Rattus norvegicus: one gene and its partners. The protein of the gene in region 7 interacts with the protein of the main gene of each other region in a pairwise test. Links are inferred from orthologs where the notes say so. Each region holds a gene or a part of one and is shown on either strand. Other genes may lie near its edges.

Region 1 (4,366 bases), on a different chromosome or scaffold from region 7:
TTTTTTTCTATTATTTTATGCTCCATAGGGGCATTTTCTTTCTGATAATATAAAAACAAAAACCAAACAAACTTGAAAAATGACTGTTCTTCAGAAAGAATTGCTTTAAAAGGATCATCTATTTTTTAACTTGTCTGTGATGGCTCAAAATAAGGCTGGAAACACAAAACCCATACATTCATTAGCATAGAGGTTAAAAGCCAGGCATGGCGGTATATATTTTAATCCCAGGACTCAGGAAGAGAGGCAAATGAAGGCCAGCCTAGTCACACAGCAAGTTTGCTGTCAGCCAAGTGAAACAATTCCCCCTAAACAAAACGAAAACAAAGTTTAAAAATTCACTGAGAGGCAGAAACAAGTAGGTGGACAAGTTGTAAGCAACAAGAACAGAGTCCAGGCCTAAAGGAGGCTACTGAAATGGAGCTTAAAACTCAGCTGCATGTCCTCTCTTCTCAACAGAAACGTCACAAGCCGTAACAAAACAAAACAAAGGGCAGGAACAAGCCTGGAAAATCCTTCCTTTTTCTGCCAGTGCTGGATCAAGGGTCCAGCACACAGTAGGCCAGTGCTTCTCTCCCTAGTCCCTGGATGTTAAAAGTGCCATCACTCACTTTCCTATTCCCTTCTCTGCCTTTATAAAAATAAATGATTTGTGCAACTTGTAAAAAAAAAAAAAAAAAGTGCCATCACTCATGGAGTTAGTCTTTGATCAACTTCAGACACAAGACTAGTAGGAAAAATTGGAAAGCTGTGTTCACTTTTTTTCCCTTTTCGGAGACATGGTCTCTCTATGTAATTCTGGAACTTAAAGAGATACACACATGCTTCTGCCTCCCGAATGCTGGGATTACAATTATGGATGTGTAACACTACACCCAGCCTTGTATTTACTTTTAAAATGTACTTTCCTATAAATAAGGACAGTGTGACTTACAGCACTCCAAACAATGAAATTAGACCATAGAAGACCTCTTGGAAGGAACTCGAAATAAAATCACCAAGTGCAAGACTCAGTTTCTTTTCTAACTTTGCCATTCATTTGTGCCATCCCTTTGTTTAGGAAAATATTCAATAATAATAAGTTGAAAAAATAAACCAGCAGCCAGGAGAGCACACCTTTAATCCCAGAAAAGAGTTCTGTTTTGAATGGGAAGAATTCTTTACTGGAAAGGCAGAAGCAGGAGGATTTCTTTGAGTTTGAGGTCAGCCTGGCCTATATAGTGAGTTTCAGGACAGCCAGAGCTATGTAAGACTGTCTTTTATAAAAAAAAAAAAAAAAAAAAAAAAAACAACAACAACAAAAACAACCCAAAAGCAAACTAGCAATTACTTACTGTCAATCATCTCTCAACCATAGGATAAACCTACACAAAGGCAATGGACAACTACTTTTGGTGCAAAAAAACATACAAATGAATTCACAGCACTTTGGGGGGGGTAGTATATAATCCTCAAAAGAAGGACCCTGGCTCAAGTTCTCAAAAAATGGGAAAATTTCATACACTGCACCTTTTTTTTTTTTTTTCCCCAGAGCTGGGGACCGAACCCAGGGCCTTGTGCTTGCTAGGCAAGCGCTCTACCACTGAGCTAAATCCCCAACCCCACACTGCACCTTTTATACACTTTCATACACTGCTTGCCCAAATAAGTGTTATTATGCTTATAGTAGGAGAATCTGTCAACCAAAAGTTTTTCAGAATATCTTAGAGAAGTGGCTCTCAACGTTCCTAATGCTGCATGGACCCTTTACCACAGTTCTTCATGCTGTGGTGACCCCCAACCATAAAATTATTGTCGTTGCTATTTCATAACCATAAGTTTGCTACTATTATGAATCATAAAGTAAGCATGTTTTCCCATGGTCTTAGGCGACCCTTGTTGAAGGCCTTAGAACCTCTGACAACCATTATTTTCTACTTTACACCATCTTTAAAAAGCAAAACAAAACAAACAAACCCTCTTATTATGGTCATTTGACAACTGTAATCCAAAGGGGGAAGTAATCAGTTTGTGAAGAGAAACAGGAAACTGGGAAACAAGTGCTCTCTACTCCTTTTATGTTCTCTAGCAGCTATCTCTTTCCCTCGGTCCTTCCATAGCAAAGCAAACAGAAGCCACGTCAGTTAAGGTTAACCACTTCGATCAGAGAAGACCTTTCAAATGAAAGAGACCAACATAGAGTTCAAGAATTAACAACTGTCCGAGGTTAATCCCTGCTAGATAAACTACTTTCTATATCTTGATTTCTTTACTGAAAAAAATTTTTTTTCTTGCTGTCTCCCAAGACTGTTAATTATTTCACCCCAACCAAAGAACAATTCCATTCGTTCTTTCTACTCGGAACAGAGAAACTCTTTAAGGAAATAGGCTGTTTTTTCAACATCCTGGTTTTCTGATGACAGCCGCTTTCCGTTCTTCCCCCGTCCACAGTCCTTAGAGGTGCTCGAAGCCTCGGACACTGTCCCCCTTCAGCTCCCGCCAGCCCCCGCGCTCACCTCACCGTCCACCCCAACCGCTGCCTAGGCCCTCCGGCGCCCCAGCATCAGCAGCTTTTGCTCACCTCGGCCCCTGACAGGAAAGGGTGCGAGGGCCCAGTGATCGTCAGGTAATTGTCATTTCCTCCGGGAAACTGTAAACCAAAAGAAAGCCGCGGGGATAAGTGAGCGGAGTAGGGGCGTGCTGAGACTCCAGTCCTCCCAGCACTCCCGAGCCCCCCTCGCTCCTCAGCATTCTCGCTTCTGCTTCCACCAGTCGGCCACGAACCCTCATTAACCCTCCAGACTTAGCCCCTACCTCCATCTTCACAACACCACCACCAGCGTCTCAGCGACTCCGCGTCCGCATCGCTCCCACCGCCCCCACTAAGTTCCGAGAGCGTCACTTCCTCAAGGAGTAGCGTCGCTCTCCGGTGATTGGACCGAGTCAAGGGACGCAACCAGTCGCTAGCCGAGCTGCCCGAAGGTCGCTGTCGCCCCCTGGAGCTTGGTGGGATAATGGCATGTAGAAGAGCATGGGGCGGCCCTAGAGGCGGTGTCCTGGATTCGGGATCCGGCGAAGATTTCTGGGGAGAGCAATAGAGACGCAGCTTGAGCTAGAAGGGCTGGAGTGGAGGCAAATAAGGAGATCCGTAGATTGAGCGGCTAGAGAGGTCGGAGGTAAGTGGCTGTGGAAATCGGGAGGACCCGGAACACCGACACCTCGGGACCATGACTTACGCTTATCTCTTCAAGTACATCATCATCGGAGACACAGGTAACCCGCCAACGGACCGCCTTCGGGGCTGGGGCGGGGATCCTACCTCCAAAATCGGCTTGCGGGCGGGGCGGGGCGAGCGGAGTTGAGTGGAGGGGGCGGGGCGAGCTCCGGGGGCGGGGCTCTGCCCCTCCCTTAGACCCTGTGCCCCTCCTGGGAGCTTGCGGCTTCCTGGGTGACCTGCATCTAATGCACACCGTTATTTTTCAGGTGTGGGGAAGTCATGTCTCCTCCTTCAGTTTACCGACAAGCGGTTCCAGCCTGTGCACGACCTCACAATAGGTAAGCTTATCTCCTGGTCCCAGAACAGATAAAAGCTAGCTCGCAGAACTGCGAAAGGAGAAAGCTAACAGTCTCGGTATTCTAAATAAAAAGTTAACTTCTCGCTACCTTTGTCTGAAGTCATGGTATATGAAAAACGATAAAAGCTGGTAAGTGGAGAGTAAATGATTGAAAGGTAACTTTAGAGATGGGTGTAAGATACATACTAGTCGTAGGGTTTTTTTCTTCAAATGCAACTTGAATGCTTATGGAAAAATTCCACAGAAACATGCTTATTAAACTCATCCGTAGTTTGTGGTTAACTACCAGCCTCACATGCTTTTCAAAGGAAACACCGACCGATCCTTTTAGGACTGGAGAGGTAAAAGCCAATGTAAGGATCTTTCCAGTTCTTCCTCCACCTCTACCTCCTTTTTCCTCCACCTTTTCTTCTTTTGGAGGCAAATTCTGGCTATTTAGTTCATACTAGCCTCAGATTCACTATATAACCCACACCCGGCACGAACTCCCAGAAATCCTCCTGCGTTAGCCTCCAAGCACTGTGATTACAGGCATGTACCATCTCATGGGCTTTCTTAAGTTTATTTTTGTCCCGAGACTGGCTTTGAACTCCATGGGTAATCTGACAATGACTTTAAATAAGTCTTGATCTTCCTACCCCTACATCTTAAATGCTGGGATTAGATATGAAGCACTGTGCTCAGCCTGTTTTTTTTAGTTTCTTTCTTTTTTTTTTTTTTCTTTTTCTTCTTTTTCCCTTTTCTTTTTTTCGGAGCTAGGGACCGAACCCAGGGCCTTGCAAGCGCTCTACCACTGAGCTAAATCCCCAACC
Region 2 (4,367 bases), on a different chromosome or scaffold from region 7:
ACTTCTCTGTTTCTCATCCACAGTAGGTGGTTGCCAGGCAACAAAATACTATTGTCTGTTTCTGTGATCTATTGGCCAATTCTACTGCTGATAATGTTTTTACAGTTTAAAACAGGGCCACCTTTTGGACAAGAAGAGATGAGCAAAATTTCTGAGGCCGACAATAATGTATATATGAATAAATGCATTGCCTGTACCCTAAAATTATATGTATCAGTTTATAACTGCGTGCAAACATAAATATTTATTTTGCAATACTCATATATGTTTGTGCTATCACACACATTCTTTTCCAGTCTACACACATATAAATTTCGTCGGCCTGCAACCAGCATCTAAAGCCATGTGAGAAAATCAGAGCATGAACTAGAGAAATAAAAACACAGTCAGAATCATTTTCTCAGCAACGGCAATGACTTCAGATGTATCAGATGCGTCAAACCCTGTCCCTTGATTGTGAAGCCTTCCAGAGAGCAAGGCTCTTCTTCCTATTTATATAATGGAAAAACTGGGAAGCTTTGTCAGCTTCTTTGAATCATCTCACATATTAAAGGAGCCATTTTACTTAACATGTGCTACCAATGTGTTCAAAGACCATTCAACTAGTGGTACCCTTTACACATAGGAATCTTAAAATTTTTTTCGTCTTAAACATAATTGAATTGCTCTCCCTGGAATAGCCTCGCATGACTCTCATTTGGTTAGGATCTGGGTCCCTGGATAATTACAGCCCTGCCATGTTCCTTTTGCATATTTCACCAGCTTACAGATGAAATGACACACGGTGTACTCACTATAAAACTGTCAACATTACCCTCCATCCCTTGCCGCTTGCTTTGCATTGACAAGGTTACAAAGATGAGAATTACAATATTCTTAAGATGTTCAGACACAACATCAAAACAGCCTGTAGGAATTAGGGCTCGAAAATGCCAGAGGCAATCAGGCTTTGAAATGAAGAGAAATAAAAGTCATTTGTACAGATTTCTGGAATGGCACTGCACAATGTCAGGACAGTCTCTAGATTTTACACAGTGCCCATCCGTCTTGTCTCACCATATTTCAAAAGCACTTTAACTAATGCTTCCCTCTAGAGGGATAAAATTCATTACCATTAGCAAATCTGCATATTACAAGAAAGCAGAATAATCAATATCCATTACGTGCGCGGACATTATTACTATAAGTCTACTATCAAGAGTGCAACGCTAGCAAAACAAAAGCAAAGTGTGTTAATCACGACCTGAGTAGTAGACAAAATTACTACTTTTCCAGAGAGCAGTCTTCCGCAGAATGCAGCTGCCTCCCACTAGAGCTCCCAGGGACTTTTTCACGTCGCAACCTACAAAAGACCCACCACTTCCTTCTTTGGGTTCATAAGCAACCAGCAACCGTCTCTGCCATCAATCCATTTCCTTTCTCCTTTCTCCACCTTCTTCATATCCCTTAATGACTCTTCATTACTTCCCCCAAAGAACCAAACTCAAATCTGCAGCCCAGTTTGTCATGAATCTCTTGTGCATTCGTTTCCGGCATTCTCCTAAAGCTACTTTTAAAAATCGCTACCACTGAACAACATAATCTCAACAAAATTTAAAATATTTTAATGTTATAACAGTGGGAGACTGCAGGAGAGGGAGTAAAGCGAAAGGTGCAGGCTGAAGGAACTACAGTTACATACATGGGGATGCCTATGCCACAGAGCTGGGCTTCCCCACCTGTCGACCCCACTTCCCCCATGTGCTCGCTGCGGGATGACAACCACAACACTCCAGAACCACCCCCTCCAAGGAGGCGGGGTTATATGATCAGCCAATCAGAGCCCGCGATCCCGGGTGTCCAACCTATGGGGTGGCAGTGGCCATGCAGGGGGAGGACATAGGGTGGTCCGGGAGGGGCCGGGTCCGTGGGAGGAGTGCACGTGTCCAGAAAGGCGGGGAACCCGCGGGCGTCCAGCTGCCGAGGCGCCGGTCGGGTGTCCAAGTTCCGCTGCCCAGTGCGGTCTTGGACTGGGCAAGGCAGGCAATGGCCCGCAGAGGAAGACCTGTCCTTGTGTCCAGTTCCAGCAGAGAGGGAAAGACACAAATAACAACAATAGTACCTCGCGCAGATCGGGCAGAGAGGAAAGTTTCTGGCCCGCGCCAGAGTGGAGAACGCCAAGGCGGGGAGATGCTATGCAAGACAGGAGGAGGACAGTGTGGAAAGACGGGAACAACCCGAGGGCTGCGCGGGCAGGGCAGGGTCCCGGGTGCGGTCCCTGGAAGGCGAGAGGCGGGATGCGCTGTCCAAGGTGCAGGGGAGGCGGTTGGTGCGTGGTAGGCGCGGAGCCCGAGCAGACACTGGCCGGCCAGCGATAAAAAGAACGGAGAACATCTGTGTGGGGCGCCGGGCACCCCCGGCTCGTAAAAGTGCGGGAGCCCGGGGAGCGTCGGGGAAGGGCGCAGGGGGCTCCCCCACACCGCCGCCTTCCAGTCTTACCTCCAGCTCCGCTCCCCTCCCCCCTCGCCCACTCCCCTAGGTCCCTTGTTCCCCGGCCGCCTCGGGGGCGGGACCGGGAACCCCTCCTAGGCGGCGAGTCCCTACGCCCCGGGGATGCTGCGGGCCGCGGAGCCGCTTACCTGGGGCCGCGGTGCGGGGATTCGAGGCAAGCGAGCGCCGGGCGCGGCGCGGCTCCTCCTCGCCTCGGCTTCTCCTCTCGATCCCGCTTCTGCCGGACTCTGTCCAGGGCGCAGAGCAGCCAGACCGGGCTAGACTGCAGCCTCCGCTCGCGCCGCCACCGCTGCCGCAGACAGAGGACGCCCCGTGGCGGCTAGAAGCCTGTGTGAGTAGCAGCGCCCGGGAGAGTGGGATCTGCTCAGGGGCGCTGGAGACTCCGCGGCTCGGGGCGCGCGGGCGTGCGCACGCGCGCCTGCGAGTGTGAGTGAGTGTGCGCGCGCGCGCCCAGGGGTGGGGGGAGTCGCGAGGGGCGGGGGAGCGAAGCGGGAGATGCTCGTAGGGACCGAGGCAAAATTCGTCGCCCCCGGAAATCCGTAAAGCCTAGGAAGGATGGGCCGCCTGTCTGGCCTGGAGGAGCTGCGGGCCCCGCAGAGAAACCATAAGAGAAGGCAGCGTGGCGCGCTCGTGCTCAGGATCCCGGCCGGTCTGGGGCCCGCGGAGCGCTCGGCCACTGATGCTACACAAGTAGCGCCCAAGGCAGAGGATCGCGCAATCCCCTCGGGGGAGGAGCTGAGGTGACTCGCTCGTGCCACCGCTGCCAGTTTGGATTTCTAGGCTGGACGTTCTGGGACTGGTCTTGGTACCCCATGGTTACCATGGCGACCTTGAAGGCGCCAGGCTGGCGACCCAGGATGCAGGGAACTATGTACTTGCAGTAGACTCCAGGATACTGAGGTGCACTGCTCAACCTGGCGCTAAGGTTGAACCTGGGCACAGAGGGTGTACCTCAGTGGTGGTTGGGATCAAGTTAGATGAAAATGTTACCTTTTTGTTTTCCTTGGAAGCCACTTTCCCTCAAAGTTAACCACTTTCACATAGAAGTGCTGGCCTTCTCTTCGTTAAGATTCTACCAACTGTCCAGATATACAAGTAATGCAAAGTAAGCTGAGAACACCTTAATCTCCTAGCGCACTAACACCTTAGAAAATATGGTTAAATCCCCACTTACCTGTCCTATTCCTAAAAGGTACATGGAGCTGTTGGTATATTTTTCCATGCTTATCTTAAGTAAGCAGACTTTATTCACCCAAGAATTCTTCCCAAAAGTGCAAGGTCTGTGTTACAGTTGACATGCTCTTCCTGGCAGGAACCCTCATGAGGGGGTTAGGTTTTGCACTTTTTTGCCTGCCCTACAGTACTTGCACGGTGCCACTGTACATTGTGTACTCTCTATAAATGTTGAATGAATGACATTGTTTTCTAGCTTCACATATCCTGAAGGCAGAACCCGTGGATGTTGGAAATGTCATTACCATCCCACTAGGCTTGCTTGATTTAAACTTAGGCCAGTTCCCTGTGTGAACAGCTATTTTCCCCTCTGGCTGCCTGGGCCCCAGTGCAAAGAAAGAAAATAAGAGGATACTGGCCCATTGTGCAAATTTACCAAAAGATTCATGCTAAGAGTACTCAGGAACTTGGTGCTGTGTTCCTGCGGACACCTAACCTCTCAAAAAATGTCCAAGTCACCGAGTCACCGAGTCACAGGTACTTAGCAGTTTGCACACTCTCTTCTGCAGTAAAGGATAGGAAAGGAGATGGTAAGTGATTGTCTGTCTCTAGAAGCTGGTCAGAAGCCAGCTTTTTTCTTGTCAGGAACACCAGGTGCTAAACACTGGCCCGTACATACTTTACAAGGTCACTGGGGATTGCTA
Region 3 (4,073 bases), on a different chromosome or scaffold from region 7:
CCTCAGACAAGTCTAAGTTGAGCTGGCAAGGGGAAGACACGCAGGTGGGTGGCAAACAGGCCTGGAGCTGCCTGAGTTGCAAGTTGGGAGAGCCAAGTCCTTGGCAGGATTCCAACCTTGGGGAAGGAAGGGGGTCTCACCTGGATCCCTTCAAGGAAGAAAGATAGGTGCTCTCTCGGGCTACTTGGCGGGACAGTGAGAAAAGTTCTACCCTTCGAAGTAAAAGGGTGTTGTCCCTCATGCAGAACTGGGCAGCAGCCTCATTGATGGTCAACTGTGGCAAGAGGACAATCAGTGTGAGTTCTTGGTTCTCCTACTGCTTTTCCCCTTCACCACCAAGGGAGGCCCATCCAAAGAATGCCTGCTTTAAATAATACCCAGGACTTAACTGCCTGAACTTAGAGACTGTCCCTCCCAAGGCCTCCTGTTCCTGGCATGTGAGCAGCACAGGGTTTCGTTGCCATTATTCTTCCCTTAGGTTGAGGGAAGTGAGGCAGCAGCTGGGGTTGGGTATGTGTGGGTGTGTGGAAGGAACTGGGGTGGTCAAGGGGACAGTGATACAGAGGTGGAGGATTCTGAGGCAAGTGAACTGAGCCCAGGAGTGAAGGGCAGTCCTGAAGACCCAGGTACTCACCTCGTGCAAGCTAAGCTGTTTGCCCTCACGCCGTTTGGAATCCAAGCGGCCATAGATGATGCTATATTTTCGGATCTCCTCTTCTTTCTGGCTGTCGTTATCATCCATCTCAAAGATGTGCCCCACACTCCGTGCCAGCTTCTTATTCAGCTTCAACAGGGATGTGATCTCTCCAGTGTCACCCCTGGGGAAACTCCGGAAGATCCTCTCCACACTCTCTACCACCATTCGCACCATCTCTGGTTCCAGGCGGTCTGGACCACCCCCTGTGCCACCTGCAGCCACCCCCCCAGCCCCAGTCCCCTCAGGGACTCCTCCCCCTGCAGGGGGGGAGAAAGGGGGAGACCCGGCCTCCTCTTCTCCTCCTGCTCCAACATCAGATTCTGGAGTGCTCTGGCCTGGCCAGATCCGGGGATCCCCTGCACCAGGTCCTCCAGGAAGTGGTGATAGCTTCTCTCCAAGTTCAAGGGGACTCTTGGGGCTAAAGCTTCGAGCACTGCCCGCCTTTTCTCCTGGGCTGCCATGCCCATTGCTCATGCTCCCTTTCCGGGTACCAGCTGTCTCAGAGATCTTGAAAAGTGGGATGCTGGAGACAGGCACAGCAGGCACTGGTTGGCTGAAGAGCCCTGGGTTGGTGGCCCATTCTCTCAGAGCCTTCTGTAGACGTCGGACATGGAGTGGTTTGGTGGCCATGCCCACAAGTGCCATGATTTCCAGGAACTCCTCCTCGCCCGCCTCACACAGCTGCTGTACATCATCCCCTCCCTGCTGGATGAAGGTCTCGTAGTAAGAAAGAAGGTTGGCACGCTGCAGGACCCGGTACAGCTGCAGCTCACCCAGTGTTCGAGGCAGTGCCATGGTTGAGGCACTTGCCCTGAGAAGGAAGGGCAGGAGACAGGCGGTGAGTACAAGTGTCCTGCTGGGTACCAACCAACCCACACTAACAGTTGTCCTCTTTCCTGCCCAGTGCCCAAGGTTGAGAATGGAGCATTGCTCAGTGGCACAAACATCCCATATTAAAGTTAACTTAGAATACTAGGGGCTACTGCTGGCCACTTCACTCCTTGCCCAGGTAGCTGGGAGGGAGGGGTGTGGCCTCTTCCTTGGCCTTTAGGGAACCTGGTAGACCCTTGCTCATGTCCTTAGGTTCCAGGGTTTAAAAGCACTCTTCCTAGAATCTGTCCGAACTTTCTAGGCTGCCCAGTACCCTTCCAGTTACCCCCTCTCCTTTGATTGGTCCTTCTCTTCTGGGAAAGGGGGAGGGAAGCCTTGATTGTTCTGCTCTGGGGCCGTTCTTCCCACACACTCCCACAGGAGCAGCGTCTGTAGGCGAAAACTGCCTGGGGGCTCCCGCCTACTCTCTTCTCCTTGTTTTCCATCCTTATCTTCAAAAGGGAGTGCGAGAGAGACTGAAGGCCTCTTGAGGAAGGGGCTGCATGCGGGGGCTACCCCTCCTCATTCAGTGAATGGTCATTTCATGACAAGGGAGGCCTGAAGCACACCCCCTTCAGGCCCACAGATGCTTAACTCAAAGGAACCACCTTCTCCCAGACCTAGGGGTGGTGCGCTGCCGGCTAATGACACACTAAGACAGCTAAGCTCCCCCACCCCTCACTGTTGACAGATCAAGCTCTGGAGCTCTCCCTGGCGCTGGGGGACAGTCTTTGTAGGGCCTCACGTACCAGGTTATGCCCACTGAGTAAACCTGGAATGGAAAATGAGGCAGTACTCTATCGTAACCAGGCTCATTGGGTCTTTGTTTGCTCCCAGGATCCCCCAATTCGAATACTCACCCCCCCTTTTCTATCAGTCTCCACCTCCCACCTCCCGATTCTCCACGTCCTCTTTTCGACCCCCACCCCCTAGACCCCCATTCGGGAGTCCAACTCCACCCATCTCCACTCCCTGCCACCTCCTTTTGCCCACTAACTTGACTCTGGGTTGTGGGGTCCGGCGGGTGTTATCCGCTCTGCCAGGTGGCTGCTCCGCTGTGGGAGAGGGCGCTCTGTGCATGGACGGCCAGAGATCACCCGTGCCTCCCGTCTCGGTGCCCGGCGCCTGCTGCGCGCTGCTCTTTGCCTGGAGCGCGCGCGGCCCGGGTCCACCGCTGTCCTGGCTCCGTCCCTCCCTCCACGTCTTCTCTCTCGGAGCCTCCGCGCCTCTGTCTGTGCCTCTGCCCCCACCTCCCCGGCTGAGCTTGCCGCCTCTCCGCGCCTCCTCCCCCGCAGGACGCACAGGGAGCGAGGCCCCGCGCTGCGCTGGCTGCCGGGCTGGCGGGAGGAGGGCGTGGGCAGAACCGGGGGCTGGGACCGGAGGCGGTGGGTGGGAGCCCAGGCCTGAGCCTCCGAGAGGCTGCTGCGGAGACTGAGAGGAGGAGACTTGGGGGAAGGTGGGGGGAAGGTGTGGAGCAGGAGGCGGAGGCGGGGACTCAAGAATCGGGCTCCGAGTTGGGGACTGAGGTGACCGAGGCCGAGCTATGGAGGGGGGAGCTTGGGGACCCAACGGGCGGGGCAGGTCGCTCCTTGCCGCCCACGCCGGATGCACAGCCGGCCCTCTCTGCGCCCACGTACCCACGTGAGCGCCCCGCCGGCTACATTCCTACTCCCTGCACCACTCCTACTCCTGTGAGCCGAGAGCGCAGTTTCACAACCACGCACAAGTATACAAAGACACGCGCACGTACGTGCACACGCGTCTAAACAACGACGCGGACGCCCGTTGGCCGCACTCTGGCCGCGCCATGCCGTTAGTTTGAATGTTAGAAGTGATGGGAAAAAAGTTGGAGAGGGGTCCGGGTGTTCGGTTCCTCCTGCTCCGCTCCCGGAGGATGTACCCTTAGGGTAAACTTGTTAGCGCGGGGCTGCGCAGGAATCCCTTCGGTGTTTCAACACCGTTCTCTGGCCTAAAGGTTGTAATATGAAGAGGCGGCTCTCAGAAACCCTGGTCGTAAGTTATACTAGAATCTACTACTTACATGAGCGTTGGTTAGGCACGTCGGGGTTTGGTAGGTAGGACAGGGATGGGGTTACCATGCTTTTTTATTTTCTGATGGTCAGGCCTTACTGCTTGGATTGGACGGCAAAGCCAGGAAAAGGTGGCTGCCTTCTCTGAGGTCATGAATTATTGGATCTCTCTGGACAGTGTAGTGGAAGCTTGGCAAGAGGCTAAGAGTAGTCTACGTGACTGCCCACCACGGAGGACCGCCTTCAAGGAGCCCAACCCCCTCGGTTTCTTCTAGCCCCATCTGGTTCCCATTACACGCCCACGGCTAGGAGGGTTGGGGGGGGTATTGGGCACGTGGGGGTTGTGTAGGCCTTTGGGGAGAGAGGGTGGGGGTGGAAAGCGTGGCGGACTGGCCAGAGGGAGGAAACGTCCCTCTAGTTAGAAACCTCGGCTCCGCCCCTTTGCTCCGCACTTGAGAGTGGCTTGCCCCAGCACG
Region 4 (3,567 bases), on a different chromosome or scaffold from region 7:
ACTACAACCTGAGTTGCGACAACTTCAAATACCTGTCCTTCCACAGCACCAGAAAGTTCCTTGCTGCTCAGTGGGCTTCTTCCTCAGCAGCTGCTGACAGTTTCTGACCATCTTCAAAACACTCTGTCTGGACTCTGTCCTACCTGGCACCATCGTACCATATTTGGTAAAGTACGTGTGGCCCTTCTGTTGCTGTGGGCAGGGTACACTGGGGCAGTGCAGTTCTCCATTGTGGAGTCTGTGTGATCTGTGCCCTGGCAGAGTAACGCCCATACGTACCTTGGTCTGCTTCTTCTCTGTGGCATACACAATGGAGGTGCAGCACACTTCTGCCAGCTTACGACCCTGGCCATAGAAAGACCAGCAGCAGATCTCGTCACCGATGACGTCCTTGATGAAGAGCACGCGACCATTGAAGCGCAGGGACAGCTTGTCAAACAGTTCAATGTTTTTCAGTAGGTGATCATCAGAGTTGCTGAAAAAACCAGAAGGTCAGCAGGCCTAGAATGAGGTTCCAGCTCAAGGGTGCTGGCTGCTGGGAAGGGCTGGGCTCCCTGTTCCCTGCTCCTGTTGTGTTGAAATGAAGATAAGGCTGACAGACAGGGACTGGGGCCCGTGAGGGAAAGGGGTGGAGCTGGAGCTGGCCCTCAGTTACAGCAGAGAGCATTAAGGGAAAGAAGTGACCTCTCCTTAAGCCTGGAAGAAAGGGTCCCTCACTACGACTTCGGCAGTGCCATGGGGTGATGTATTGTCCATCAGGGACCAGGAGAGTCTAGAACCAAGCCCAGCCACCTGGATCTACCTAACCAGGGCACAGTGAGACGCACATGTGCCAAGAGGACTCAGCTCATACCTTCCTAGCATCCCTCTTTACTCTCTAAGATCCTGGCTAGCCATATGTATTATAAAGTTGGTCATGATCCATCTGGTACCTGAGACAATAGAGATGATAATTCCTGGCATGCTCTTGATATGACACAGGCATGTTTCACGTTTTAACATCTACATCCCAACCAGGCCATGTAATAAACCCCAAATGTCTCTACCCTGAGCTCCCTCGTATACCTGTTCATTCCCTTTCCAAAGGTGGTTTCAAACCCAGCCCCATGATGTGTGTTGGGGACCTGTGACATCCCTCAGGTCTGTTGTGCCGTGCCCACTGTGGGTGCTCAGCCCTGAAACTGCCTCTGCCACCCTTCGCAGGGCCCAGCAAAGGCGCCCGCCATACCTGGTGTACGAGTACTTGTTATTGCTCCTGTTGTACAGCAGCTTCACCACCGGCTGTGAGGGAAGGAAAAGTCGTAAGGGTCAGGCCAGGAGCCTGGTGTCCCCAGGCCAAGACCCTCAGGGTACCCAGTACCTTTGTGGAGGATTCAATGAGCCTGTCCTCCTCCCTCAGGGATGTGATGATGGGGATGTTGCACACAGGCTGGTAGGAGTCTTTCTTGTCCTGGGTGACACACAGAGCAGAGAGCTGCCTTTAGGACTTTGTGCTAGCCAAGCTTAGCCAGGTACATCCCAGGCCTCTGCCAGTCACCCCTGCCTGGTAAGGAGGTACCAGACAGTTCATGACGTTCTTGGAAATAGATACTGACATTCTCACTGTCAGAAATCTGAAGCTGCTATGTAGGCAAATGAATTAGAGGCACAGCTGGCTCGGGCTGCCAGGCATGAATCCCTAGCAGCTGGGCCTGGGCCTGGGCAGCTCCCCATTGTTCTGATTGGGTTTGCACTCATCAACCTCATTTCCAACACAGCTCCCCAGGAGCCAAGCCTCGTGTCCCCAGAAGGGCAACTCCCGCCCTCATCAAATCACCTGACACTCCCATACCTGCAGGGCGGCCTGGCACAAGCTCACCAGCCCTTGAATGAGGTAATATTTTGCTTCAGCCATCAATTCCTGGATTTCTTGCCGGCTTTGAGGGAGGGTGACGGTGTCATCTCGGAGGTAATTCAAGATGGTGCCAAAGTGCTTTCCACAACGGTCTATGAGGATCCAGCCTAGGGATTTAGAGGGGTCCCACAGGATTACTGTTTGTTTCCAGCTGTGTCAGCGCTGGCAAAGGCCACCTGAGAGAGGCAGGCAGGCAGCAGGATGCAAGGAAAGGAAGTGTGCGAGCAGAGTCCAGAGCCCAGGCCCAGTGGCTCAGAGACTCTAGGTCTCAGGACAGTGCTGCTCTTCCCTATTCTGAGTTCGGGAACTGCTATATTCAGGGCTCTGTGGAGGATTGGATGTCTAATGTCGGGGCTACTCGCGCCACTCTGGTGATACAGAAACAACCAGTCTCTACTTACCTTTTGGCCCCGCCCTGGTTCTATTTGGATATAAATACACCTATCAGCTTCGACACCGTTATTCCAGTTAGCCTCAAGTTTGAGCTTGACCGGTCTCAAACTCCAGAGTGCCGGGATTACAAGCAAGTGCCAGGATTCCAAGATTCAATTTTATTATTTATTTATTTACTTATTTATTAAGACAAGGTTTCATGTAGCCCAGGCTGGCTTCAGGTTCATTAAGCAGTGGAGGCTGGCCTCAAATTTCTGATACTCCTGTTCCCACCTCCACGTTCTAGGGTTACAGATGTAACCACAACCAACATGAGTATGATACATAAACATACAGCACTTTATGTACAATTTTAAGGAATTCTGAAGCTCTGTTAAGACTTGTATGGGGCTGGAGAGATGGCTCAGTGGTTAAGAGCACTGACTGCTCTTCCAGAGATCCTGAGTTCAATCCCCAGCAGCCACATGGTGGCTCACAACCATCTGTAATGAGATCTGATGCCCTCTTCTGGTGTGTCTGAAGACAGCTACAGTGTACTTATATATAATAAATAAATAAATCTTTAAAAAAAAAAACTTGTATGAAGTGAGGAGGAAAAGATAGATATCCTAGATCTCCTGGGCTCAAGCCCAACCTGGAGTCCTCCCAGCATGCCCCCTTCCTGCTCTCCCTTACCCAGCATGCCCCCTTCCTGCTCTCCCTTACCCAGCATGCCTCCTTCCTGCTCTCCCTTACCCAGCATGACTCCTTCCTGCCCTCCCTTATCCAGCATGGCCCCTTCCTGCCCTCCCTTACCCAGCATGCCCCCTTCCTGCCCTCCCTTACCCAGCATGCCCCCTTCCTGCCCTCCCTTACCCAGCATGCCCCCTTCCTGCCCTCCCTTATCCAGCATGCCCCCTTCCTGCCCTCCCTTATCCAGCATGCCCCCTTCCTGCCCTCCCTTACCCAGCATGCCCCCTTCCTGCCCTCCCTTACCCAGCATGCCCGATGCAATGCCTCACCTTCTTTGTCGGTCAGCACTTCCATCCGCCCACTGAACATGGCCTTGAGCATTGTGTCGTGCCGGGTGAGAGCCCGCACCGTGGTGTAGTGCAGGGAGCCCCCCACATTGAGCTGCACGTACTTGTTACCCAGCCCACCTCCTTTGAAGCCACTTATCTTGGGCTTGGCTCCTGAGGCTGGGCACAGACAGGTGTCCCCTGACATCTCCCGCTGCAGGTAGATTACCACACGGCAGGAGGTAGGCTTGGAAGGCTCTGCCGTGGTGGAAGTGGTCACAA
Region 5 (4,016 bases), on a different chromosome or scaffold from region 7:
GTTAGAATCCCAGCTGTCTGAGGCAAGAGGATCCCTGAGTTTGAGGCCCACTTGTGGTGCATGGCACAACCCTGTTTGTTTTTGTCATGTCCCCCTACATCTCGTGTGTGTGTGTGTGTGTGTGTGTGTGTGTGTGTGTGTGTGCACGAACTATCTGCCTAAACTCATACTGCATATTTTCATGTACGTTTTCACAGATTCTCTTCATTTTTATGGTCCTGTCTATGTACTCACACCACAAGTGTACACATACACACTCTCTCATGGAGGCCTCTGTCCACTTCTTGGCCCCTGAGCTACATGATGACTTCAGCAGATGCCTAAGTCTTGGTCATCGGCAGCCTTGGGACTGGGAGGGAGTTCCGGGTGCAGGCTTGCTATCCTTCCCAGGAAGGAGCAAGACTGAGGATGGGGGGTGGGGGTGGAGCCATCTTCCTTGAGATCCTACCAGATGTGGTAATGGGCTCCTGCTCAAATTCCATAGGAGTTATTCCGAAGATCAACTAAAGCAGGAAGGTTTATAAAGGTTGACAGTGGGACAGGGCCTGTGTAGGCTACCTTAGTCCCAAGTGATGGCAGAAGCTAAGAGTTGACATAGAAACAAGCACAGCCTATATCGACCTCTGGGAAGTAGGAGACCCCAGAGGGCATCTGTGGGTTCCTAAGACCTGTGAGGTTTCCTGTTTGGCCAGCTCCACCCTCAACGCCGCCTGAGTGTCTGGGAGAAACTGAGGCCTAGCAGTGGGAGGCTGGACAGTGCCTGGCTTTGGTTCTTTGTTCCCTAATTACCATCTGAGTTACTGATTGTATCCCTGACTTGTCCTCTGCCCAAATAGCCCAGGAATGAGGCCACCTGTCCCAAGAGAGTAGGGACATGTACTGGGAGCTAGTAGTTAGGGATCTCTGCCCAATCTGAGACTTCGCTATATAGGGGATACAGGTTTGGGCTTAACTGGGTCTCCTCTGTCAAGGAACCCTGCATAACCTCTTAGTTCTCCCATTCTTTCATCTCTGTTTGGTTGAGTTGTTCCTTATCCTTGTTCCAGACTAGAGTTGAGGCCCAGAGGGACTTGAGGTTCATTGCCAGTTCTTGGGAGGTGAAGCTGTTTCACTATATGGGGAATGTTCTATCTGGAAGAGGGGGTCAGGAGAAGGCTAATAGGGGGAGGATCCTCAAGGTGCAGGGACTCTGACGCCAATGCCTTGCTCGCAGGTTGCCCTGGAGGCCCCTGGCCAGGCCTGAACCTCTGCCACCATGGCCATTGTGCACACTCTGCCAGTGCCACTGGAGCCCGCACGTGAGACAGCCACTGCCCCACAAACTCCAGCAATGGGCAGCGTGAGCAGTCTTATCTCAGGCCGGCCCTGTCCTGGGGGACCTGCTCCTCAACGCCACCATGGTGTCCCTGGGCCTACCTTCTTCCGCCAGCAGGATGGGCTGCTCCGGGGTGGCTATGAGGCCCAGGAACCACTCTGCCCAGCTGTGCCACCCAGGAAGACTGTCCCAGGCAACAGCTTTACCTATGTCAATGAGGACTTCCGGACAGAGTCACCTCCCAGCCCAAGCAGTGATGTCGAAGATCCCCGAGAACATCAGGCACACAATGCCCACCTCCGTGGGCCCCCACCAAAGCTCATCCCTGTCTCTGGAAGGCTGGAGAAGGTAACGGGCAGCCCTCTTGGGAGGATCTGGGTGGGGTCGAGCTCCCCGCTGGGGAAGCTAGAATTTGGAGGCATGGACTCTGTCTTATCTCTCTTTCTGGCTCAGGGAGATAACCTGTCTGAGCCCCATTTTCTGTGTCTTTACAGTTAAGGTTAGAGGATAATCTTTATAGGCTCCTGTTAGAATTAATACTCCCAAATGAACAATATAGTAGTTCGTGTTTCTCTCTCTCTCTCTCTCTCTCTCTCTCTCTCTCTCTCTCTCTCTCTCTCTTTTGGTGTTTGAGACAGGGTTTTTCTCTGTAGCTTGACTGTCTTGGAACTCACTATGTAGACCAGGCTGGCCTTGAACTCACAGAGATCTGCTTGCTTCTGCCTCCCAAGTACTGGGATTAAAGGCATTTGTTACCACTTCCAGCCAAGTTGCTTTAGTTATTATAGAGGTGTGTGGTGTGGTATGGTGTGGTGTTGTGTGTGTGTGTGTGTGTGTGTGTGTGTGTGTGTGTGTGTGCGTGCGCGTGCGTGTGTGTGTTTGGGCGAAGCCTTTGTTTACCTTTATTCTGGGACTGACTCTATCCTGTTTTTAGTAGGAGAGGAGGATAATGTTTTGCTTGCGTGGCTATTATCATGATTAAAAATAAGCATTTTGAATTACTTAACATAAGTAGACGTTTAGAAACGGTGCCGCCGGGGTTGGGGATTTAGCTCAGTGGTAGAGCACTTGCCTAGCAAGCACAAGGCCCTGGGTTTGGTCCCCAGCTCCAAAAAGAAAGAGAGAGAGAGAGAGAGAGAGAGAAAGAAAGAAAGAAAGAAACGGTGGGAACCATTGTTTTTCATTTATAGGGGTGAGAACCCTGTATGGGAAAGCCAAGTAGTATGATGATTTTGTAAGATCAAGGTGGGCCAGAGAGATGGCTCAGAGGTTAAGAGCACTGACTGCTCTTCCAGAGGTCCTGAGTTCAAATCCTAGCAACCACATGGTAGCTCACAACCATCTGTAATGGGATCCGATGCCCTCTTCTGGTGTGTCTGAAGACAGTGACAGTGTACTCATACACGTTCCTAAGTTCAGATCCAGTACCCATATAAAAAGGTGGCCGTTGTGGCAAAGGACTGGAATCTCAGCACTTGTCAGGCAGAGACAGGCAGATCCCTGGGGCTTGCTAGCCAGTCAAGACTAGCTGGATTGATGAAATCCAGGTCCAGAGATTGTGTAAAAACTTAGGTGGGAAGTGATTGAGGAAAGCTCCTAACTTTGACACTTTGACATTTGATCTTCACACATAGGCACCACGTATCCATACTCATACATATGCACCCCCCTCTGTGTGTGTGTGTGTGTGTGTGTGTGTGTTTTGAAAGATCAAGTAAGCAAAGTGGGCTTGGTATCACACACCTGTAATCTTGAAGGGCTTGTGTTCAAGGGGATACATAGTGAGTGGACCCAGGCCAATAGAGTAAAACCCTGTCTCACAACAATACTAAATTTTTTAAAAAGAAAGGGGTCGGGCAGATCATCCTCACAGTGTCACATGCTACCTCATTTCAGAATATGGAGAAGATCCTGATCCGACCAACAGCCTTCAAGCCAGTGCTACCCAAACCTCGAGGGGCGCCATCCCTACCTGGCTTCCTTGGTCCTCGAGCTGCTGGGCTATCTGGGAGCCAGGGCAGCCTGACACAGCTGTTTGGGGGGCCAGCCTCTTCCTCCTCCTCTTCCTCTTCCTCCTCTGCTACTGACAAACCCTTGGCACTCAGCGGTTGGGCCAGTGGCTGCCCTTCAGGAACACTGTCAGACTCTGGCCGAAATTCTTTATCAAGCTTGCCCACCTACAGCACCGGAGGTGCCGAGCCAACTGCCAACTCCCCAGGTGGGCACCTGCCCTCCCACGGCCCTGGCCGAGGGCCACTGCCTGGTCCAGCCCGAGGGGTCCCTACTGGGCCCTCCCATTCAGACAGTGGCCGGTCCTCCTCCAGCAAAAGCACAGGTTCCTTGGGGGCTCGTGTAGCTGGGGGGCTCTTGGGCAGTGGGGCCCGGGCCTCCCCTGGCAGCAGTTCGGGTGGAGACCGCTCCCCACCCCCTCCACCACCTCCACCCCCTTCGGATGAGGCCTTGCTACACTGTGTCCTGGAAGGGAAGCTTCGAGACCGAGAGGCAGAGCTGCAGCAGCTGCGGGACAGTGTGGATGAGAGTGAGGCCGCCGTGTGTCAGGTGCGGCCAGTGGCAGTCCTGGGGCGGTGTGGCTGAATACCCAGGGCCTAGGGACAATTCCTGTTGGGGAGGAAGAGGGTAAAGACTCATGATGTGACACCCCCAAGGCTATGAGCATAACCTTCAAAGCAGTGAGGAGGCA
Region 6 (4,247 bases), on a different chromosome or scaffold from region 7:
TATTTATTTTTCTGACTTATCTTTTGGAACATGAGAACAGAAAGCTAGAGAATGGAACTGACTGGTTCAAGAGTACTAGGCACCACAGAGCCGGCCTGGATTCCTAGAACCCACACAAGTATAGCAGCACAGGTGGGGAGGCCTGGGAAGCCCCAGCCTTGCTGATGGAGTATGGCTCTACTGTATAACACTTTATTCCAGAAGAGTCTCACTGTTTGAAAAAGCCCTAAAAATAAAAACCCCTGAGGGTTGGAAGATAGGCGTGGGCGTGTGTGTGTGTGTGTGTGTGTGTGTGTGTGTGTGCGCACACACACACACACACACACACACACACGTAATGTAATAAGAAATCGAAAACTTAAATTATATAAATTGAGATTCCCCTGCTGGCCTAGAGAGCTACTTAAGACTTCTGAGCAAGGAGAGAATAGACTGGGGTTCTGTGAGAATGTCATTCAGGGGAGAATGAACACGCTGAACAGGAACAGCTGCAAGCACAGACCAGGTAATTCTTTATGATTTTATATATATAAACATATCGTGTGTGTGTATGCTCTGTCTTCACACGCACCAGAAGAGGAAATCAGATTGAATTACAGATGGTTGTGAGTTACCATGTGGCTGTTGGGAATTGAACTCAGGACCTCTGGAAGATCAGCCAGTGCTTTAACTCCTGAGCCATGTCTTCAGCCCCCACCCCACCCCCAAGCAGGCATTTCTATTGACAATAGCCTGGACACCAGGTAGAACTGACCTTGCCTCAAGCAGCAGGCATGTTGCCGAGGACTATGCTCCCCCCAAATCCCAAAAGCCTAGGGGTCAAATCCAGTCTAAGTGAGGCTCTCTGGGCCATATCTCTCTTCTGTTGCAATAGCTATCTATTGGATAGGAGGACAGGGACCAAGAAGGTGAGGGGGGGACTCTCACCTGCAGCGCCAGCTGACAGTCTTCAATCAGGCCCTGTACCAGGTAGTATCGGGCTTCACCTAGCAGCTCCCCCAGTTCTCTGGTACTCTCAGGCAGTGGCACTGACCCGTCCCGCAGGTAGTTGAGAATTGTACCAAAGTGTCGGCCACTCCGGTCAATCAGCACCCAACCTGGTGGGGTGGGAAAAGGCAAAAGGAAAAATGGTTTGCTGGGGGCACTCGGGCTAATACATTCTTAGAAAACTGATGGCAAAGCCATAAGAAAACTTATATATGCCTGGTGGTCCACCCCTTAATCTCAGCAGTTAGGAGGCAGAGGCAAGTGGATCTCTGTGAGTTTAAGGCCAGCCTGGTCTACAGAGTGAGTTCCAAGACAGCCAAGGCTACAGGGAGAAATCCTGTGGGGGCAGGGAGGCAACAACAAAGATAAAAAACCCCTAATACTTATCTGTTTTATACCTCTACCATATCCAATGTTTCACACATCTCCAGTGTATCATACATACACCTGCCACAGAGCTCGCTCCCAAATCTGGTGGATGGTCAGAAGGCTCTCAGCACAGGGACGTAAAGTCAGGATCTCATTATGTAGCCCAGACTGAGCATGAGCACTATAGTATAGGCAGGTGCCACCAAGCCCAGCTTACCACGGAGAAATTCTCACCAAATTACCTTATGAACACATTTAACCCCTTGTATTAGTTTTAACCATCTCACCTAATGAAAATGTCCACTTTCAATCCTCTAATTCACAACGATAAAGTAGTAACAATATTACTTGGAATACCAAGAACTTACTCTGATTGCATGAAATTTTCTTGCTTACTGATCATCCCTACTCAATGCCCTCCCCAAACCCCCCCCGGGGGGGTGATCAGATCCCTTTACCAAACTTTCTCTAACACTAACTGATGCTTCACAATACTTATCAAATAAGTGGATTTTCATCTTCAGTACCTGAAAGCTGAACTTCACCTGCTAATTGTTTCCTTTCATCTTTGCTAAACCCTTCCCTTTAAAGCTATTCTATAATAAATGGGTTCCCAATTTAAAGGCAACACTCCTAAGGTTCACCTGTCAAGAGCTGCGCCCTTCACTCAGGTCCCTGACAAACCCAGAGCAGCCTTCTCTTTTCACATATATGCATTTATAGATGATTCCTAGAGAGTGCTGGCACTTGAGTTAGAGACAGATCAAATCTTTCAGTTCTCGAGGCTACCTGCTGGCGGTTCTACTGCAGAGAGGCAAACAAAAGGTTGGGCAGTGGGAAGTAAGTGGTAAAGGTGTTTGAAGGGTGCTGCTCGAGTAGGACTGGTTCCTTGGCTTTTAGAACTAAGGGAAGACCCGATAATCGGCAACTGAGCGCTTGGCAGATGTTACTGCTGGAAATAAAGGATTGGGCAAAGAGAGAGATTTTGAATTAGGAAAAGATTAAGATGGGACGAGGGAGTCGGGAATGAACTGGGGGCTGGAGGGCAGCACGTGTACCGGCGGCACGCATACCTCCCGCATCTGTGAGCACTTCCACGCGGCCGCTGAACATGGCCTTGAGCATGGTGTCCTGCCCCGTGAGGGTGCGCAGCGTGGTGTAGTGCAGCGAGCCGCCCACGTTCAGCTTCACATACTTGCTGTTCGGGGTCAGGGGCTTCAGACTGTACGAGGGGGAGCCAGGTTCGACACCTGAGGGGTTAGGGGACTCCAGGCATTCGGCCGCAGCCGCCGCCGGGCCAGAGGCCTCGGCCGACATGCCAGTGAGCGGACGCGGGTGACAGTCGAAGCTCTCTCCGCGCCCCGGACCCGCTCCCTGAGACCCCGCGACTCCTGCGCGGGCGCCCGACCGCTCGGCGCACACGCCCACTCGCCGCCGCTACTCTGCTACGTCCACCAGCCGCCCCATCGCGCGCTCTCTCCACCCGGAAGCTGGCGCGCGGAGCTGCGCAGGCGCGGCCAGGCTGGAGGCCGCGTCTTGGGGGCGGAGCCAAGAGCTGGGGCGTGCGCAGTCGGTGGCGCCGTTGCAGTCCAGCATGCGGTTTTGGGGTATGGTTCTCTGGGGAGAGTCAGGAACCTGGATGGAGAAAGCGTCTAAGGTCCCTTTGCCCCTTGTTTATGTGAACGGAGAGGACCGCAGCCTGTGACGGTTTCAGAAGCGTTTCATTCGCGTGAAAGGAAACAAGCTCAAAGGCTGGAGGTTGAGCATGGTTTCCCTAGCCCAACCCAGTGCACTTGACAGACTGTACGAAGAACAGTCAACAACAACAACAAAAAGAAAGTTCTCCAACGAAGCCTTAGGGTTTCCAGAGGACTCACAGGTTAGAAGGCCTAAGGGAGGAGATGATGAAAAGTAGCGCCTGTGTGGAGGTGGGATGCAGAGTTCCCTGTAGGGAGAAGGGTAGGGACCTGAGCCACATATAACTGATTTTAGCCCTGGAGGCTGAGGAAGGAAGATTATGGGTTCCAGGAGATCCTGGTCTACACAGTCTTAAGTATCTCAAAGCAAAAGGAGGGCCATTAGGCAGGAAGGTGGCCATTACAAGAATAAGACTGGACAAGCTAGGGAAGATCTTAGAATCCCAGCTGTCATGAGTCCTTCCATAGAACCCCCAAAAAGAAGAAAGAAGGTAGAGCACACTGTGAACAAAAGGTCTTTAGTTTTTAAATCACTTTAGAAGCTGATAGCTGAGATATTTAACAGCATGCCCTATTGTCTGGAAGGTTTTGCTTGGATGGAAAACCAAAGTCAACCTGGGCAATGGTGGCTCAGGAAGCAAAAGCAGGTGGCTCTTTGAGTTCAAGGTCAGCCCTAGTCTACATAGACTCTGTGTTGAAAAAATAAAAAGAAAAGGAGAAAAACTCCAAAGTCAGCATTTAAGTTTTAACCCCGTCACCAGCTAACTGGAAGACCTTGGCAAAGCTTCTCTTTCTGGGTCTGGTTGGTTCTTTTACTGCTTGATCAGGGGTGCAAATCTAGTGTTAGCTGTGGAGAGGTAGAGGTGTGGAGAAGCAAAGTGGACTTGTTAGAAGATATTAGAAGTGTGTCTAGTAATGAAGAGACTCTGCCAAAAGGAGTTGCCAGTCCTGCTTCCCCACAGCAAGTATGGCTGTGAAAAGGAAAAAGCAGTTCCTGACTGGAACTTGCACCCTCCTCCCTGAATCTTTGCTGTTGCCAGGAACTTGCCCAGCACCCATAATGAGGCTGCGGTGGTGTCTTGTTCAGCTCAGTTTCACAAAACACCAATTTCAGACAAATTCACACTCTGGCAGGTAAGAACCATAATCATAACCAAACACAAAATGACCAAATATAACCATCTCCTACAAATG
Region 7 (3,567 bases):
AGCTGCGTTCCTCAAAGCTTGTACTGGGAGGTGCTCATGTGACAGATCTGAATTAAGATTTGTGGGTTCTGGCCCACTGGGGCTGAAGACTCAGTTGTGATTAACAGAAGACTAGTATCACTGAAGCGAAACCTTATGGGAAATATTTTCTCTCATTTAGCACAAAGTTGTGGTCCAGAAGGGGCATGCATCTCAATTGGACAGTGAAACTTAGTAATGGGTTTTGGCAACACCACAGTTGGAAATACCAGCAAATTGGAAATGTCAGGATTGTGGGATAAGTAGCAAGCATGAGTGGAGCAGACTTAGCATGTGACTACAAGATAAGTTGTGGTATGCTGTGTATGGCAGAGCTGCGAAACCCTGTATAGCACAGAAATTATGAGTAAGTCTCAAACGCTCAACATTGAGTTATTTATATATACTGTTGAAATTTAGGTTTTATACTGTGATAACAATATCAGATCCTGGAGATAAGAAATGGGGTATGGCTTAAAGTGGTGTATGTGTGTGTGTGTGTGTGTGTGTGTGTGTGTGTGTGTGTGTGTGTGTTTAACAAAGATCAATTGTGCTGGTTAGCTTTTGTCAACTTGTCAAAAACTAGTCACTTAGAAAGACTAAACTAGGGGTTGGAGATTTAGCTCAGTGGTAGAGCGCTTGCCTAGCAAGCACAAGGCCCTGGGTTCGGTCCCCAGCTCCGAAAAAAAGAACCCCCCCCCCCCCAAAAAAAGACTAAACTTCAACTGAGAAATTACCACCATCAGACTGACCTAAGGATATGTCTGTGGAGCATTTTCTGGATTAATATAGGAGGAACCAAATCACTGTGGGCAGTATTACTCTTAGGCGACTTGGTCTGGTTTGTGTAAGAAAGCAAACCGAGCAAGCTATGGAGAGAACACCAAAACAACAGTACTGCCAAGTGATCTAAGGTTTAGTTCCTGCTTCCAGTTTCCTGCTTGAATTTCTGCTCTTAATTCTCAACAATGGATTGTGACATTGCTTTTGGTCATGGTATTTTATATTAACAGCAAGAAACCTACTCATGACAGCCCTAATAACCTGCTGACTGCCCACAGGTGAGTGCAGCAGATTGTGTGGGGTTTTGGAGAGGCATGGCTGGTTTCTATACAGGAGCTGCTTAATTAACTGAGCCTTATGAATAACCCACTCTCCCTCACAAGTAAACCAGGACACTGGCCATCCTCTTCTGATCACATGTGCCCACAGTACCAAGCACTCCCCTCCTAACACAAACACATTCATTCTCCCTCTTCTTCCTTTTTTTTCCTTTCTTCTTTTTTTTCGGAGCTGGGGACCGAACCCAGGGCCTTGCGCTCGCTAGGCAAGCGCTCTACCGCTGAGCTAAATCCCCAACCCGCCTCTTCTTCCTTTTACATGGGCATACCAGACATGCTCATGGATGCTGGTCCAATCTGGTCCTGCCTCTGCTAGTAAGAGGTATGTACTACTACCTACCTGAAAGGCATGGCCACAACCAAACTTATCTCTGAAAAGTGGCTGAGGAAACTGGTAATGGACCACCTGACCACACACCTCAGCCTTCCAGCCCCACAACTGTAACTGCCCTTTTCTGAAAAGAGGCTTTAACTGTAGTTCTATCTCATGATCATAAGGTGTGTTCAGAAGATTAAATATAGCAGACCCTACTAAATAGGATGTCTGCCTCACAGGAGGATGGGAAGTTAAAGGTCAATCTCAGCTTCTTAACTATACAAGTTGAGGCCAGCCTAAGACACACGAACCTCAGGGTAGGACGGAAGGAAGGAAGCAAGTAGGGAAGGATGGACAGACAGACAGGAGTGGTGAGAGAACTGAAGACTCAAAACCTCTGACACCAGGTAGAAAACAAAGCCTGAGACCCCCACAGGGCTGCCTTCACACTCTGCCAGAGTGAAGGAGCCTGGCAACTGTCTTCTGAGGACCTGGAGACCAACACTAAGCATCAAGTTCAGAACTGTATGCCACATGTCCTATCCGCAGCACACGGGGCTTGGGCATCACCTGAAGACATTCGCTATAAAGATCTATCCGCTATCTACAATGCCAACCTTGTTAATAATACAAGCATCTGTTGGAGTGGTAAATGCCAAAGAAGGCTTCTTAAAGACTTAACTCAAACATAAAATCCAGGAGCCCTCAGGGGAGGCCTATAAGCAGGTAAATGATGCCCGTGTGGCTTGGGACTATGAGTTCAAATTTCCCTAACCATTTCCCCCAGCTCTTCTCCAGGGCTTCATGAAGTTCCCTGTGATGAGTTGAGGAGGGTTAGGAGGAACATGGCCCTCCAGAATACAAAAGTGTGTTCAGCACTATCTTCAGGACCAGGGAACTGAGAAGCCCCCACACAGGTCAGCTTCCTAAGCTACTTTGTCCCTCTCCTTCAAATGCTCAGGGAAAGCTGTTCAGCAAAGGAACAGAACTGAAGCCCACCCTGTCTCAGGGAACTCTGTAGTTCTGGGTATGTTCTCATTCCACCACACCAGCTAAAATATTCCTACAGTATATTATCACAAAGTCAATCCCAAAAATCAATCATAAAAATTAGCTAAGCATGGGGCTGGAGAGGTGGCTCAGAGGTTAAGAGCACTGACTGCTCTTCCAGAGGTCCTGAGTTCAATTCCCAGCAACCACATGGTGGCTCACAACCATCTCTAATGAGATCTGATGCCCTCTTCTGGTGTGTCTGAAGACAGCTACAGTGTACTTATATACATAAAATAAATCTTTAAGAAAAATCATTTTTAATTTCATTTTTAAAATATCTCTTGGGCTGGTGAGATGGCTCAGCGGTTAAGAGCACTGACTGCTCTTCCAGAGGTCCTGAGTTCAATTCCCAGCAACCACATGGTGGCTCACACCCATCTACAATGGGATATGATGCCCTCTGGTGAGTCTGAAGACAGTGACAGTGTACTCACATAAATAAAATAAATCTTTTAAAAAATTAGCTAAGCATGGAGGTATATATGCATCTTTAATCCTAGCACAGGAGAGGCAAAGGAGGACTGCTGTGATTTCAAGACCTGGTATACATAACGAATCCCAAAACAGCAAGGGATAGAGAGACCCTGTTTCCAAAACAAAATATAAATGAAAAATTCTTCCCATAAAGCAAAGTCCTCACCCACGGGCAGTGACGGGTCATATATCAAAGTCCTGCAGCACTCATAGTAAAAGCACAAAACAGGTAACACAGAAACACGTAATGACCCTTCAAGTACAGGTGCTGACTAGGGAAGACCCACCTTTGTTTGCTGGAGGTCTCTTCAGCTTTGGGTCGCCAGCCCCATGGTACAAGCTGCAGGTTGTCCAGGCGATTGTCCACAGTCACAGCATTGAGATGTACCACCTGAAACCCGGGAGCCACACCTCCCCTGTGTCGTTCCCTAGGGAAGACAGATTTTTTTTTTTCTTGAGGGCAAGACCCTCAAGCATCAATGTCCAAACACAGAAATATCAGTCATACGGTCTGAACTGGGCCCTTATCCTGAAGTAGCATACCAGAAAGCCAAGCACGTCATCAGTCTATGGCCCACACAGGCT

Evidence for each region.
Region 1: the proteins of Zmynd19 (region 7) and Tox4 interact in binary tests that used the Homo sapiens proteins (3 or more experiments, as listed by UniProt). The two-hybrid records come from large-scale screens. The link is inferred for Rattus norvegicus from reciprocal best matches to the Homo sapiens genes ZMYND19 and TOX4.
Region 2: the proteins of Zmynd19 (region 7) and Enox1 interact in binary tests that used the Homo sapiens proteins (3 or more experiments, as listed by UniProt). The two-hybrid records come from large-scale screens. The link is inferred for Rattus norvegicus from reciprocal best matches to the Homo sapiens genes ZMYND19 and ENOX1.
Region 3: the proteins of Zmynd19 (region 7) and Nab2 interact in binary tests that used the Homo sapiens proteins (3 or more experiments, as listed by UniProt). The two-hybrid records come from large-scale screens. The link is inferred for Rattus norvegicus from reciprocal best matches to the Homo sapiens genes ZMYND19 and NAB2.
Region 4: the proteins of Zmynd19 (region 7) and Tnfaip1 interact in binary tests that used the Homo sapiens proteins (3 or more experiments, as listed by UniProt). The two-hybrid records come from large-scale screens. The link is inferred for Rattus norvegicus from reciprocal best matches to the Homo sapiens genes ZMYND19 and TNFAIP1.
Region 5: the proteins of Zmynd19 (region 7) and Lzts2 interact in binary tests that used the Homo sapiens proteins (3 or more experiments, as listed by UniProt). The two-hybrid records come from large-scale screens. The link is inferred for Rattus norvegicus from reciprocal best matches to the Homo sapiens genes ZMYND19 and LZTS2.
Region 6: the proteins of Zmynd19 (region 7) and Kctd13 interact in binary tests that used the Homo sapiens proteins (3 or more experiments, as listed by UniProt). The two-hybrid records come from large-scale screens. The link is inferred for Rattus norvegicus from reciprocal best matches to the Homo sapiens genes ZMYND19 and KCTD13.

Annotation. Positions count from the first base shown.
Region 1 is NC_086033.1:27,461,224-27,465,589, reverse strand, and holds the start of Tox4 (TOX high mobility group box family member 4), read right to left. Parts: upstream 2,856-4,366; 5' UTR 2,800-2,855; coding exon 2,794-2,799; intron 2,630-2,793; coding exon 2,561-2,629; intron 1-2,560. Other genes in the region: Rab2b (ras-related protein Rab-2B), read left to right, coding at 3,207-3,252, 3,463-3,534. UniProt on the Homo sapiens protein: Transcription factor that modulates cell fate reprogramming from the somatic state to the pluripotent and neuronal fate. In liver, controls the expression of hormone-regulated gluconeogenic genes such as G6PC1 and PCK1.
Region 2 is NC_086033.1:58,926,225-58,930,591, reverse strand, and holds the start of Enox1 (ecto-NOX disulfide-thiol exchanger 1), read right to left. Parts: upstream 2,853-4,367; 5' UTR 2,619-2,852; intron 1-2,618. UniProt on the Homo sapiens protein: Probably acts as a terminal oxidase of plasma electron transport from cytosolic NAD(P)H via hydroquinones to acceptors at the cell surface.
Region 3 is NC_086025.1:65,386,399-65,390,471, forward strand, and holds the start of Nab2 (NGFI-A-binding protein 2), read right to left. Parts: upstream 2,858-4,073; 5' UTR 2,648-2,857; coding exon 2,565-2,647; intron 1,509-2,564; coding exon 635-1,508; intron 275-634; coding exon 141-274; intron 1-140. UniProt on the Homo sapiens protein: Acts as a transcriptional repressor for zinc finger transcription factors EGR1 and EGR2. Isoform 2 lacks repression ability.
Region 4 is NC_086028.1:63,920,467-63,924,033, forward strand, and holds part of Tnfaip1 (BTB/POZ domain-containing adapter for CUL3-mediated RhoA degradation protein 2), read right to left. Parts: 5' UTR 3,494-3,567; coding exon 3,289-3,493; intron 2,002-3,288; coding exon 1,832-2,001; intron 1,451-1,831; coding exon 1,361-1,450; intron 1,282-1,360; coding exon 1,229-1,281; intron 476-1,228; coding exon 280-475; intron 1-279. UniProt on the Homo sapiens protein: Substrate-specific adapter of a BCR (BTB-CUL3-RBX1) E3 ubiquitin-protein ligase complex involved in regulation of cytoskeleton structure.
Region 5 is NC_086019.1:253,830,886-253,834,901, forward strand, and holds the start of Lzts2 (leucine zipper putative tumor suppressor 2), read left to right. Parts: upstream 1-1,213; 5' UTR 1,214-1,255; coding exon 1,256-1,663; intron 1,664-3,211; coding exon 3,212-3,874; intron 3,875-4,016. UniProt on the Homo sapiens protein: Negative regulator of katanin-mediated microtubule severing and release from the centrosome. Required for central spindle formation and the completion of cytokinesis.
Region 6 is NC_086019.1:190,963,676-190,967,922, reverse strand, and holds the start of Kctd13 (BTB/POZ domain-containing adapter for CUL3-mediated RhoA degradation protein 1), read right to left. Parts: upstream 2,851-4,247; 5' UTR 2,674-2,850; coding exon 2,430-2,673; intron 1,098-2,429; coding exon 928-1,097; intron 1-927. UniProt on the Homo sapiens protein: Substrate-specific adapter of a BCR (BTB-CUL3-RBX1) E3 ubiquitin-protein ligase complex required for synaptic transmission.
Region 7 is NC_086021.1:28,159,270-28,162,836, reverse strand, and holds part of Zmynd19 (zinc finger MYND domain-containing protein 19), read right to left. Parts: intron 3,411-3,567; coding exon 3,270-3,410; intron 1-3,269. UniProt on the Homo sapiens protein: May be involved as a regulatory molecule in GPR24/MCH-R1 signaling.